Elephas maximus indicus: one gene and its partner. The protein of the gene in region 1 purifies or fractionates together with the protein of each later gene. This does not show direct contact. Links are inferred from orthologs where the notes say so. Each region holds a gene or a part of one and is shown in the gene's direction. Other genes may lie near its edges.

The links. The genes of interacting proteins can lie anywhere in the genome.
Region 2: the proteins of SOCS7 (region 1) and CUL5 purify together in Homo sapiens (affinity purification with mass spectrometry; 4 studies listed by BioGRID and IntAct, counting the BioPlex papers as one, with this or other methods). This does not show direct contact. The link is inferred for Elephas maximus indicus from reciprocal best matches to the Homo sapiens genes SOCS7 and CUL5.

Annotation. Positions count from the first base shown.
Region 1 is NC_064837.1:45,971,208-45,978,235, forward strand, and holds the start of SOCS7 (suppressor of cytokine signaling 7), read left to right. Parts: upstream 1-3,985; 5' UTR 3,986-4,189; coding exon 4,190-5,154; intron 5,155-7,028. UniProt on the Homo sapiens protein: Substrate-recognition component of a cullin-5-RING E3 ubiquitin-protein ligase complex (ECS complex, also named CRL5 complex), which mediates the ubiquitination and subsequent proteasomal degradation of target proteins, such as DAB1 and IRS1.
Region 2 is NC_064825.1:11,657,373-11,664,659, reverse strand, and holds the start of CUL5 (cullin-5), read left to right. Parts: upstream 1-4,222; 5' UTR 4,223-4,288; coding exon 4,289-4,312; intron 4,313-7,287. UniProt on the Homo sapiens protein: Core component of multiple cullin-5-RING E3 ubiquitin-protein ligase complexes (ECS complexes, also named CRL5 complexes), which mediate the ubiquitination and subsequent proteasomal degradation of target proteins.

The DNA of each region.
Region 1 (7,028 bases):
CTCTTCTACTTCCCCCACCCTTTGATATCCAGATCACTGAGTGCATGTAGGAAGGAATGGATGGTGTTGCTGAAAACTTCTCATGCTTTATAGATGGCCTCTGCAAACAACAGTTCTGCTGTGGAATCCTAAGTGTGAGGATAAGGGCTGGGGTTAGAGGTCAAGCCCCCAGGAGAATCCCTGCTATGTCAGAACTAGAAGGGCCCACAGTCCAGGCCTTTTTCTAATAGAAAGGAAACTAAAACCCTGAGAGGAAGGTGACATCCCACAAAGCTAGTGACTGGCACGCTGGGGATCTTCCTTGACGTCTCTGATTCTGTGTCTAACAGAGACAAGGGATGAAGAGGATTCAGTGACCCAGTCTACCTTCCTGCTATTACTGCTTATTGGTAGTTGAGGGTCAACAAAACACTGGGTGAAGATATCACACTAAGTTAACACGATTTCCCCCTCCCAAAAGCTTTTCATAATATAGTGAAATTTGTGAGAGCTGGAACTTGATGGGACTGCCTTGTTTTTTCCGGGTCTTGAAAGTTTTCCACCTTTGACAGGGTGCAGTCTTGCCACTTTTCTATCCCTTGTTTTAGTGGAAAATATTTGAGTTTTCCTTCTCTGACTGGTTTCCACCTTACACAGGTTACAGCTTTCACAGGTTTACCGTAATCATGACCATATGTATGGTGTTTTAGCATTTGTTAAGCACCTTTACATATAATTTTTCATTTAATCCCAACAGCCCTGTAAGGGCGGGGGGGACTATTACTGAACCACTGTTACAAAGGAAACACAGATACAAAGATGTTTAATTATTTGCTCTTGGTTATACATCCAGGAAATGGCATGATTAGGACTCAAACTAGACTGTGCAAGCTCCAGAAAAGCAGAGACAGTGTCCATCTCACTTATCACTGCACCCACAAACCATAGCCCACTGGGCACTGTAGGTGCTCAATGAACGTTGACTGACTGAATGAACCTCAGAACTTCTTTAGATTCTCTAAGTTGTTTTTCACGCATCTTTCTGACTAGGATCCTACCGCTGCTGGGACCACTTTACAGCCCTTAATGAAAGTGGTATGTATAGACATAACAAACACACATTTAAGTCATAAAGCACAAAAATACACTTCCTTTGCTTAGAGCTTAATTTTCAATGCTTTTCCCAGGACCTGGGCTACAGGCTGGAAAATTAAGGAAATGAGAAATGCCGCATTCTTTACTCAGCCTTTGAAAGAGCCCGTGTGTGTTCCCTGGTGGTGCAAGTGAAGGTGGTGGACATAGCTTTCTTCTGCGGCCAGGGAAGCAGTTGGACAGGAGAGGGCGGTGCAGAGCCAGAAACCTTGCCTTTTGTCAGGGATTCTGTTCTTGGGCCAGAGCTTCCCAGAGACAGTCCGGGATCTTAGGTAGCCTCTTAGGCTTCAGGGGTTCTGAGATCCTACAGCAGTTGCTCTTCTTTTCTGCTAGAAACCTAAGTAACACCTGACAGGTAGCAGGGGAGGGAGGGTAGAGAATGAAATCTGTGGAGTCAGAGTCAGGCAGAGCTGGTTTTGAATTTTACTGCACCTTTTTTTTTGTTTGACCTTAGGTAAGTAACTCTTTGAACTTCAGTTTCTTCATGTGCACGGAAAGATATTCTGTTGTGCAGAATTAGACATGAATTTGTATCAGGAGCCTTTTGCAATGCCTGAAGTTGAACAACAGCTCCATACTTACCTATCAACGGCCTAATCTGCGCCAGGCACCGTCTTTGACACCAAAGGCTCCATGATGGGCAAAAAACAAATATGGCCCTTGCCCTCATGGAGCATATAGCTTCATAAGGAAGACAGACTCTCATCAAACAACCCCATGGAAAGAAAATAAATTGTTGTGGTGTGCCTTTGAATCGATTCTGACTCATATTGACCCTATAGAACAGAGTACAACTGACCCATAGGGTTTCCTAGGCTGTAGTCTTTACTGAAACAGATCGCCAGGTCTTTTCTTCTGTGGATTGGCTGGTGGGTTCCAACCTCTGACCTTTTGGTTAGCAGCTGAGCCCTTTAACCATTGCATCACCAGGGCTCCTTAATGACAAATTACACCTGTGCAATTAAATGCGACAAAGGAATGGTCTCTGAGCTTGGTGAGGAGGAAGTGCCCAGGCAGGATTTCCCTGAAGAAGTAAGAAGGGAGTTCAATCTGAAGAATGAATGGGAGGTGACTAAGCAAAAAGAGAGAAAAACCTTCCAAGAAAAGGGAACAGCTTGCGCAGTGGCCATACGCCTGGGAGCCCGACACAAGGTTGGTGGGACTGCAGGAGAGAGATAACAAGGGGGAGCTTGGTGGGAGACATGGCGAGAAAGAGGCAGGGGCCACACAGGGCCCTGTAGGCCGATTTAAGGAGTTTTGTCTTTATCCTAAGAGCAATGGGAAAACAGGAACTGTTGTAATCAAGGGGTATGAATAAATTTTCATTTTGAAAGTGTCCCTCTCGCTGCAGGACTCAACCCTCTTCCCCTTGCTGCGCCCCCAGGTACTTAAGTTGCTAAATTCTGCTGATCCTTCCTGCCTGCTTGCACTCCTCTTCATCTCTCACTGGGACAAGTGCAGTGGATTCCTGACTGCTCTCCCTGCCTCCAGTCCCACCTCCTTTACCCAACAAGCTTGATCTTCCTTAATCCTTGTAACATTCCTGCAAGTAAGCAAAACAGCAATCTTTATCTGTTTTACCGATGAGGAAATTGAAGCCTGGTGGTGTTCGGGAACCAGCCTGTAGCATTTCATGAAAGCCAACTGTTAAATTTTCAGAAATTCTTCAAGCTGGTTGTTAAACATAGCCACTATAAAATTATATAAAATTACAATGAAATAAATTAAATTAAAAAATAAAGATGATAAATTCTCAAAACTCACCACTTACTAATTATTTTACTATTATCTATGCTTTGGGGTTATTTATATCCGTTGTATGGTGGCACTATTATATAATGGTATGCTATTTGCTCATTTCTTCCTAACTCTGTTCAAAAAAGTCAAGCTGGTAGCTCAAAAGCAGCCACGGTGGGCGTATTTATACCAGGGAAATCAAACAGAGATACAAATCGAGCTTGATTTATTGTTTTGTTGATTATCTAGATTGAAGCAAAGGATGGAGAAACTATTAATCATTCAGATTTAAACACAGTATCATACTGAATTTAAACATAATGTCATGTTAAATTTAAACATAATGTCATATGGTAGCTGTTACATTGTGAATGGCACAGAAATTGAGGAAATCTTCCTCCTGTATTTGAACCCTTGCTTTCTGATTCAGCAAGGCGGCTCCCATCACTGACAATCCAGTCATTTTTTTCTCCACTTCCATTAACACAGAAGAAAATGTCAACCAGCATTCACGCTACAACTATACTCCTTGATCAACTGCAACCATAGGTTGGTTACCCATTGCAATTGTATGTTATTTCTCAATTTTATACCACACATCCTTTATATCAGTAAAATTTATGATGAACTTATATACCTTTGTATGCATACACTCCTCCACCAGAGAACCGGTTATTGAACATGATCAGCACACCCCTGGGTCTAGAACACATATATTCATGTTATCATTCAACAAATATTCATTGGCGGCCAGGGGTGAGGAGTGAGGGAACGGGGAAACAAATTTACGATGAAGTGACTCGGCCAAGGTCATACATCACAAGCGACATAGGCTAGACCAGAACCAGAGGTGTTCCCAAGGCCAGCGGCTCTCTGCCGTGACCAGACCAGCCTTGCAGGGCCGCTGCACCTTACTGAGAGGGCTAGGCAGAGCCCCAGCACCCGGGAAGTGAAAAGCAAGGGTCGAAGCAGACGACCAACAGCCAGCATGGAGGCAGCTCACGTCCAATAGCGGCCCGGGTCGCCCGCAACGTCACGCGCCGTGGAGGCGACGCGAGCACGCCCTCGAGGAAAAAGGCGTGCCCACGGCCTCCCGGAAGTGACGCCATCGGGGGGCGGTCCTCGGTGGCGGCGGCGGCGGCGCGCGTCCTGGGCTCGCGCTGCGCTCCGCGCGCCCCCCGCCCCCCTCTATGAGGCAGAGGCCGCGGCGGCCGTTCGCGCTGTCTCTCCGGGGGCCGCGGCGGGCGGGGCTCCGGCGGGGCCCGGCCTAGTCCCCACCCCAGCCCGGCTCCCAGCCGCCCGCCCTCCCTCCCTCTCCCCGATGCAGGGGGCCGAGCTCCGGGATGGCGAGGCGGCGGCGGCCGCTTCGTACCGCGTCCTGAGCCGCCTGCTCGGCTATGGAGAGGCGGCCCCGGAGCCAGGCCCGCCGCCGCCGCCCCCCGGCCATGGCCCCCAGCCACCACCTTTCCTCGCGCGGCCGGGCCCGCGGGGCTCCCGGCCACCGCAGCTGATGGTGTTCCGCAACGTGGGTCGGCCGCCGGAGGAGGAGGACGCGGAGGCGGCCCCGGAGCCCGGACCCTCGGAACTGCTGTGCCCCCGGCACCGCTGTGCTCTGGACCCCAAGGCCCTGCCGTCGGGGCTGGCGCACGAGCGGACCTGGGGCCCGGCGGCTGGACTAGAGGCACAGTTGGCGGCTCTGGGGCTCGGGCAACCGGCGGGGCCGGGGGTCAAGATGGTCGGTGCGGGTTGCTGCCCGTGCCCGTGCCCCGCGCAGCCGCCCCCTCCGCAGCCTCAGCCGCCTGCTGCCACCCCGCAGGCCGGGGAGGACCCCACGGAGACGAGCGACGCGCTGCTGGTCTTGGAGGGCTTGGAATCCGAGGCCGAGAGCCTGGAGACTAACAGCTGCTCGGAAGAGGAGCTCAGCAGCCCGGGCCGCGGAGGAGGAGGGGGCGGCCGGCTTCTGCTGCAGCCCCCAGGCCCCGAATTACCCGCCGTACCCTTCCCGCTGCAGGACTTGGTTCCCCGAGCGCGCTTGAGTAGAGGGGAGCAGCCGCAGCAACCTCTCCCGCCCCCGCCGCCTCCGGGGCCCCTCCGGCCACTCGCGGGTCCTTCTCGGAAGGGCTCCCTCAAAATCCGTCTCAGTCGCCTCTTTCGTACGAAGAGCTGCAACGGTGGATCCGGCAGTGGTGATGGGACCGGCAAGAGGCCTTCTGGAGAGCTGGCTGCTTCAGCTGCGAGCCTGACAGACATGGGTGGCTCTGCGGGCCGGGAGCTGGACGCGGGGAGGTGAGACCGCATGGGGAACTGGCTGACAAACTTCCTTTTCTTGTTTCATTTCCTCTTTTTTTCTACTGCTAACAGGCGCTCTGCCAATTCGTAAGATTTGGTGTTCTGGAGGTGGCAGAGACTTAGGGCTGAAGATGGTGACAGCTTCCATTAGGTCCCTTTGGAACTGGTGGAAATTGTGGGAACAACTTTAACCCTTGAGTTCACACCTCATGATGTTTCTCAACTGACTAGCAAGGTTTGAGTCTGGAGATGACTTGAAACCATGCACCCACCCCGTTTCTTTTTCTTTTTTGCTTTTCCAAATTGGGTATTACAATTACCCCTGGTAGGGAGGTTGCTGTAAACGTTTGGCCTTTGGGGCAGAAAGCTGGTGTTGCATGTTGACCGCCTTGCTTGTTATTCTGTCTGTGTACCAGCACTTCACCCCCTTCCTCACTCATGCATACAGATGAGGGGATGAACTTGGGCAGTTGTGGGCCAGTAATCAGTTGGGCATCTCTACTCAAAGTTAATGCTTTCTGGCTGTCCCAGGCTTTTGTGTGCTGACCAGTGTCTGTGAGAATAGAGAATAGGTTTGTTCTCAAGCCCATGTGAGAACTCTCAGTATGAGGTATAGACATTAGTACGTCAGCTCTAGGGCAATTGATGAAAATTCCAGACTTAGACATTGAGCTGCTTGTTTTCCTGTGTTTCTGAAGCGTGGACTGTTCTCACACATCCAGTATTGGTTTAGAAAGCTGTCAACTTTTGTGTCGATGAAATGAGACTTCCCTTGTGGTAACTGCCATTGTGGTTTGTGCTTTTGGATGGGTTCTTAGATTTGAATTGGTGTTGGTGTGGCTTATGTGATAGATTCCCGAGATGTCTTGGCAGCCACAAGCCCGGGCTAAATAACAGGATGAATAAATTGATAACCTTACTGTGCAGTAGAATCACTTGGGGGGGGGGACTTTATGAGATCAGTATGTCTAGGGCTCAAGAATTTGAATTAAAAAAAAAAAAAACCTCCCAGTTGATCCTCCCCAGAAGTATGACCTGGACTGGGAATCACTCATCCATGAAATTCTCTTTTCAAGGGAACTTGGGTCCTCCAGGAGGAAGGTGTGGGGTTGATTTGCCTCTGTTGCTCCTTCTGAACAACTGTGCCCTGGGCTCATTCTGGGTGTCAGACCAAACTCAAACTCCCTAAAGAAATCGGTAGGTCGATGCTTGTTGCCGGTTCAGGTAGGCCAGTATTTCTGCATTTGCCTCCCACTGAACTCATGCTGGGAGCTCAGGTCTTGAAAAGTGTGTGGCTGCTGCAATAGCTTTTTTGTGGTAGGCTCTGCATTTGATGCTCCACTCGCCAGTGGGGATGAAATTTTCATCAGATCGGGGGAGGATGGGATTGAAGCTATGGGTAATGACATAGGTTAGATTGCTAATTTTCTTGTGGTTTGCATTGCCTTTGTTCCATATTGACCAGGACTTGGTCTAGGATTCTAGAGACTCCAAATATGAGGTGTGACGTGAAATTAGCTGCTACGTCTAATAGATTAGGAAGAGGAAAAGGCATATAACATTATACGGTTTTTTGCCTTTGGAAGCAGAATTTAATGGTCATTGGTTGCTCTGTCACCAACCTTCATATTGAGCACAATACAGATGTCTGCCGCAGAGCAAATTGGGCTGTAGCTCTGCAAAGAAGCTTAGTTCAGGGCACTGGAGAATTACATTTTTTGGTCCAGGGGCTTTTTCTGATGAATTGAAGAAGAGCTAGGTATTTGTGTACAAACGTTTGGTTGACTGCTGTTAGGAGCCAGCATGTTGTGTGGAGAATATAAATGTCCAGATTCCATTTGGAACCCCAACATCAGCTATGGGATGGGAGC
Region 2 (7,287 bases), on another chromosome or scaffold:
GTGGATCATAAAAAATTATGGATAACATTGCAAAGAATGGGAATTCCAGAACACTTAATTGTGCTCAAGAGAAACCTGTACATAGATCAAGAGGCAGCTGTTCAAACAGAACAAGAGGATACTGTGCGGTTTAAAGTCAGGAAAGGTGTGTGTCAGGGCTATATCCTTTCACCATACCTATTCAACCTGTATACTGAGCAAATAATCTGAGAAGCTGGACTATATGAAGAAGAACTAGGCATCAGGATTGGAGGAAGACTTATTAATAACCTGCATTATGCAAATGATACAACCTTGCGTGCTGAAAGTGAAGAGGACTTGAAGCACTTACTGAAGTTCAAAGACCACAGCCTTCAGTATGGATTACACCTCAGCATAAAGAAAACAAAAATCCTCACTACTGGACCAATAAGCAACATCATGATAAACAGAGAAAAGACTGAAGTTGTCAAGGTTTTCATTTTACCTGGATCCACAATCAATGCTCATGGAAGCAGCAGTTAAGAAATCAAATGTGACACTACATTGGGCAAATCTGCTGCAAAAGACCTTGATAAAGTGTTAAAAAGCAAAGATGTCACCTTGAAGACTAAGGTGCGCCTGACCCAAATTACAGTGTTTTCAATCACTTCATATGCGTGTGGAAGCTGGACGATGAATAAGGAAGATCAGTGAAGAATTGATGCCTTTGAATTATGGTGTTGGCGAAGAATACAAAATATACCACAGACTGCCAAAAGAACGAACAAATCTGCCTTGGAAGAAGTACAACTGGAATGCTTCTCAGAAGGATGGCGAGACTACGTCTCACATACTTTGCACGTGTTATCAAGGGGGATCAGTCCCTAGAGAAGGACATCATGCTCGGTAGAGGGTTATCGAAAAAGAGGAAGACCCTCAACGATATGGGTTGTGTAGCCGCAATAATGCACTCAAGCATAACAATTGTGAGGATGGCGCAGGACCAGGCAGTGTTTTGTTTTGTTGTACACAGGGTTACTAAGAGTTGGAACCTAACAACGACAACATACTTGCTTTATTTGCTTTCTCAATTTTTCTATCCCTCTTCTGCTTTGATACATTTCAAAGTAAACTGCAAATATACCTTCACTTCCCCCTAAATTCAATATTAATATCATTAACTAAATTCTCAGGTGCACATTGTGTATTTCTTTCACAGCATTTATCACAACTCCAATTAAGGAATATTTGGTTTGTGTAACCATGCTTAACATCTGGCTCCCTGACTAGACCATAAGGTCCAAGAGAGCAGGGGTCTTCTGTCTTACTTAATCCTGCATTTCTGGTGTCTACTGCATAACAGATGCTCAAACAAGTATTAAATATTTAATGGGATTCTTTAAGTAGGGTCATTAGTTCATTTATTCATCAATTGTTACATCACATTTTGTCACCTCACTTCTCTTTTAGGGTGCATGCGTTGATTATAGTCTAACCTAGAGTCTTACATTTTAAATTAAGCAGTAGAACTGGACTAGGGTTGAGGATAACCCAGTTGCACTGGAAAACATAATTACATAAAGTTTATTGACTAGGCCTTTTTTGTGAGGCCAGCTGAGTAGAGGTGCTAACTAAGGCATGGCTGCTTGAACTAAAAAACTAAACCCATTGCTGTTGAGTCAATTCCGACTAACAGTGACCCTACTGGACACGGTAGAGCTGCCCCATAGTTTCCTAGGAGTACTCGGTGGATTTGAACTGCCGACCTTTCGGTTAGCAGCTATAGCTCTAACCACTATACCACCAGGGTTTCCATGGCCATTTGAGGAGGGCACTAATGAAAAGTTTGTATTGGCCATTGCAGTTTCCACCTCCAGATGTGAGAGATTATTCAGCAGTTTAAAACTAATTACCATAGGCACTATTTTCCATAGGAAGGCCCCTACAACTGAGTGATCTTGGCCAGGTCATCTCTATGAGCCTCAATTTTCTCATTTGTAGAACAAAGATGATCTCTTAAGTTTAGTCTCCCTTTGTTAACATTCTGCCAGGACATTATAGGCATTGTGGCTCTTAATCATTGTTCTATCACTCAGTAATTGTTTAAGTTTGACTAGGTTACTCTCTGAAGGAGCCCTGGTGGTGCTCTGGTTAAGCACGTGACTGCTAACCGAAAGGTTGGCAGTTTGAACTCACAAGCTGCACCACAGAACAAAGATGTGGCAGTCTGCTTCCATAAAGGTTAGAGCCTTGGGAACCCTATGGGGCAACAGGATTGCTATGAGTCAGAATCAGCTTGATGGCAATGGGTTTGGCTTTGGTTTTAGGTTACTCTCCATCAATTCATTTGGATTAAATGAGATTTCAAAAGCCTTCTAAACGATCTTCCTGTTTCTATTCACTACACAGTAGTCAGAGTAATCAGATTAAAATGGGTTCTAAACCCTGCAACGATTTCCCATCTCATTTAGAATAAAAGCCAGCAGTTTAAGGGGGCGCTGGTGGTTCTGTGGTAGAATTCTCGCTTTCCACGTAGGAGGCCTGGGTTCGATTCCCAGTCAATGCACCTCATGTGCAGCTACCACCCATCTGTCAGTAGAGGCTTTCATGTTGCTATGATGCTGAACAGGTTTCAGTGGAGCTTCCAGAGTAGGTAGCAGGACTAGAAGAAAGGCCTAGTGATCTACTTCCAAAAATCACTCATAGCGACCCTACAGGACCCACAGTTTCCAAGGAGCGGCAAGTGGATATGAACTGCTGACCTTCTGGTTAGCAGCCAAGCTTTTAACTACTGTGCCACCAGGGCTCCATAAAAATCCTATGCATCGCAATTGTCCAATCCCCAAATATTCTGTTTTGGGTCGGGGGCAAACCTGATGGTAGCTAAGAATAACAGTGGCCTACAAGGTCCTATGGAAACCCTGGTGGTGTAGTGGTTAAGTGCTATGGCTGTTAACCAAGAGGTCAGCAGTTCAAATCCACCAGGCGCTCCTTGGAAAGTCTATGGAGCAGTTCTACTCTGTCCTATAGGGTTGCTATGAGTTGGAATCGACCTGATGGCAGTGGGTTTGGTTTGGTTACAAGGTCCTATATGATCTCACTACTCTCCTTTCTCTCTCTGCTCCAGACACACTGACCTGTTTCTTGGATGCTCTGGGCACCCTGCCATCTCAGGTACATTCCCCTGCTTTTCCCTCTGTCTGGAATGCTCTTCCCCCACATATAGTATGGGCTGGCTCCCTTACCTCCTTCACATCTTTACTCAAACGCCATCTTTTCATTGAGGCCTACTCAGGCCACTTTACTTAAAATTACATCTTCATCCCCCCTTTTATTTTACTTCATAGCTCTTATTAATTTGTAACATATTATGAATGTAAGAATGAATACTGTTTGTAAACACATATAATACAATGCCAGCTATACTGTTCTCTGTACAAATTACATTCTCTTGTCTAGGCCAGTGGTCTGTGGTCTGAGGGGATAAAGCTTGAGGACTTAGGGTTCAGCATCTTTTAGGAAAATATGCCTTAATGCAATCCAGGACTAATACTCATTCCTCGACAATCTTTTACAGGATATCTAAGTGCCACGCGCTCTTGAATAGAAACATGAACAGTGTCACTTTGGTGCATTCATTCAACAAATATTTACTGGGCGCCTTGTCTGTGTCAGTTCTGACTGAAGACAGCTGCTACAAGCATTTCGGGATCACACAGTTCCATCCCTGAAAACCGAATCCCCAGATTGGGGACGGGGAGTGGGGGGAGCACGCCGGGAAACGCCGGGTCCCGCCAGCAGAGGGCGTACTCCAGCCCCCTACGCGGCCTCCGGTCCCACCAAGGCTCCAGGCTCCCACGCTCGCTCCCGTGCGCGCCCCCGCCCGCCGCGTCACGTGATGCGGCCGCGGAACCTGAGCTGTGGGGCCTAAACCGAGCTAATTTCGTTGCCGGTGGCCGCTGCGGGGGCAACCGTAAAGGCTAATCCGAAGGTGTGAGGGAGGCTCGTGGAGTCGATGCTTCCTCAACCACGTCAGGTCGGCTCCCGTTACCTTTTCACCATTCGCTGCTCTGGTCGCCCTGAGCGTTTGCATGAGCTCTTTCGTGTGGAGAAGCTCCGGTGACCATGTAGGCGGAAAGAGTAAGGAAGCTCCCGGTGCCTGGTCCAAGGTCAGCGCTGTCGGCACGCCGCTCCCGCGCCCACCACACCCTCGGTGCGGGGCCCATCGGCCGGTTGGCTCTGGTGGGAACTCCGGCCTCCAGTTGTGGCCTGGTCCAGCGCCCCACGAAATCTCGCGCTGTCTCGCGAGAGTGTAAGTTGAAGGAACATGGCGACGTCTAACCTGTTAAAGGTAAGACTCTCAATGCAGCCTGGCTTTTACTCTGTGACTGCCGGGTTCAGCTCTTCAGATAGGCTAGGTTCAGGTTCAGCAACGAGATGTGTGAGTGTCCAGGGGCTGCCCACCGGAAGGGAATCAGCTGCGACTGCCGCAGAGGAGCGGAACGCGGGTGCCTGGCCTTGCGGCCGAGAGGCTCTGGTTGTCCCTCCCGCCGGTTGCCCGGCGTGTGAAAGGCCCGGCTGCGGGCTGACGGGGAGCGGTGCTTGTAAGGGACCAGCTCTGGCCGGGAGGCTGAATGCTCGTACTGTGGCCTGAGGGATTGGGCCGTTAGTACTCGTGGGGTCTCAGTTTCTTCTGAAGCAAGAGTCTAAGACGAATAAAAAGAAAATCAGTAAAATGCTGCCTAACAGGTTTCAATGACCAGACCCCCATCTCCTCAATCCCTGTTTTCCTCATTTGTACGAAATTCCAAGTCAGACCGAGCAGTGCCTCCAACCCCACCCCCTTCCTCCCTCCCTTTTCCGCACGACGCACCTTCCCTCCTACCTCCCAGGCCCCTACCTCCTCTTCTTGAATTCTTGTTTTTCCTTAAGAAACTGCTCCCCCCTCCACTCACTCACCCCCGCCCCCATTACAGCACCCAACCAAATGACAGCTGATGAAGTGCTACCATCGTTTTAGGGCTTAGGAAAGTTACCTTATCAAAACGTTTAGTTTTATGTGTTTGGGATGGCAAGGTAGATCTAGGCCCAGAGGGACAGGTGCTCTACCGTCAGTTAAAAAGTTTGAAAGAGAATGAGGAAGACATGGTACTAATTCGTTCTGTGTTTGTGTTTATAGTTAGGAAACTTTTCCTTAAAAGCATTGACTGAAATGTGGATAGTGATCTGCTCAGGAAACATAAAAACAAAGGATAAACTGTTCCTCCCTCAGACCCATTATTATGCCTTCAGGCAGTGTGGATGGATAATAGAAAATAATATTAAAATATACCGGATGCTCACCTTTATGTCTTCTTTAGGCCACTGATACTGATTGCTTAATAGGTGAAACTGTCCTATAAAATGAAAACCTAATTTTACGAACTTAACAGGCAGTGTCTTGCCTTTTAAACTCGACTGCCTGAATTTCTGCAACTTACAAGCTGTATGGCTTTGGGGTAGTTTCTTAAGCCTGACTTATCAGTGAAAGGAGGTTATCAATAGCACCTATTTCATAGGAACATTGTGAAGATTAAATGAATTAATGTATGTAAAATGCTTTAAACAGTACCTGACACTTAATTCGTATACCCGTACCCGTTGACATCCAGTCAGTTCTGACTCATAGCAATAGTATAGGACAGAGTAGAACTGCTCCATAGAGTTTCCAAGGAGCGGCCGGTGGATTTGAACTGCCCGCCTTTTTGGTTAGCAGCCCAGCTCTTAACCACTACGCCAAACCAAAAAAACCAAACCCGCTGCCGTCTAGTTTATTCCGACTCATAGCAACCTTGTAGGACAGAATGGAACTGCCCCATAGGGTTTCCAGGGAGTACCTGGTGGATTCGAACTGTTGACCTTTTGGTTAGCAGCTGTAGCTCTTAACCACTGCGCCATCTGTTTCCACCACTACCCAAAAAAAAACACATAAATTACTGGAACTATTTCTCCATCTGTCCCGTTTCTTTAAGAACTAATTTACAGGAGTTGAGCATCCCATCCTACTCTGCTTTCTTTTTCTAACAGATGGTATAGCAGAGTTGTAATGTATTAGTCCAGAAAGAAATTCGTTAACTTCTGAAGACTATTGTTAATGCGTCAGTGTTTACTAGCAGTAGTGTATGTTATTAATCAAAATGTGTTTAAGAAATAATTGGGTTCCTACCTTGTGAAGTTTTTGACCTGTTGATTACCTGAATATGAGGCAAGCTCTCCTCCTTGCCCCCCCATACTCAAAAGAGTATTGTTTGAAGGAGATATAAAAAGTATTGTTTGGAGGAGATACAAATCTGAAGCTACTTTAAGTCAAAGTTAGTAAATGGTTACCATGTAGAGATTATGGATCTACATCTATGGGATACACATATAGAATGGAAAAACTGCCGTAACGTATGCAAAGTGGACATTTAGGCTTAGGTTAAAAGATCACAAGACTTCAAAAAGTGCTACAGTTCAAACAGCTTGTAAATAAAAGGAAGTTAACATGGTTTGAAGAAAACTGTTAGGGGGCTCAATCACTCTAGTGAACATGAAGACACAGATGCCAAAGATACATTGGAAAAATGTCAATAAAATTACTTTATAAAATGTTGACTAGGAAAAAAGCAGAATTTCTATATGAATATTATTTTATATGGTATGTGATGTAAAATCTGTATAACTAACTTACTATGATAGGTATTGTAAATAGACATTTGATTCTTTTATCTATATCCACAAAAGTTTATGTACTCAAGTTGGCCTGAAAACCTTTTTTTCCCTCTCCTCATTGGGAGATAGGGGGGATAGTCATATATTAAAAAGTAGATAATCATAAAATAGGAAGACTGAGAAGTTTATCTTTTTGGAGAAATGTAGTGAGACCCTGTCAGATAGATCTATAACATAATTCTTAGGAAACTTATATTCCTAAGTTTAATAGAGACAGGGCTGGCTAGGGAGTGATCAAATTAAAATTAGCCTCATTTTCTTTTTTGACAGGATTAATAGGCTTGTAGAATTCTCAGGAATGCCCAGTTTGGTTCCTGGCCAGTATACCTTAAGCACAGCCACCACCTATATGTCAGTGGAAGCTTGTGTGTTACTATGATGCTGAACAGGTTTCTGTGGCACTTCCAGACTAAGATAGACTAGGAAGAAAGGTCTGGCAATCTATTTCAGAAAATCAGTGAAGACCCTGTAGATCACAGTGGTCCCATCCTGTTGTACACGGGGTCACGACAAGTTGGGGGCCGACTCGATAGCAGCTAACAACAACTTTAGAGAAATGCCCTAGACATTGTGTAA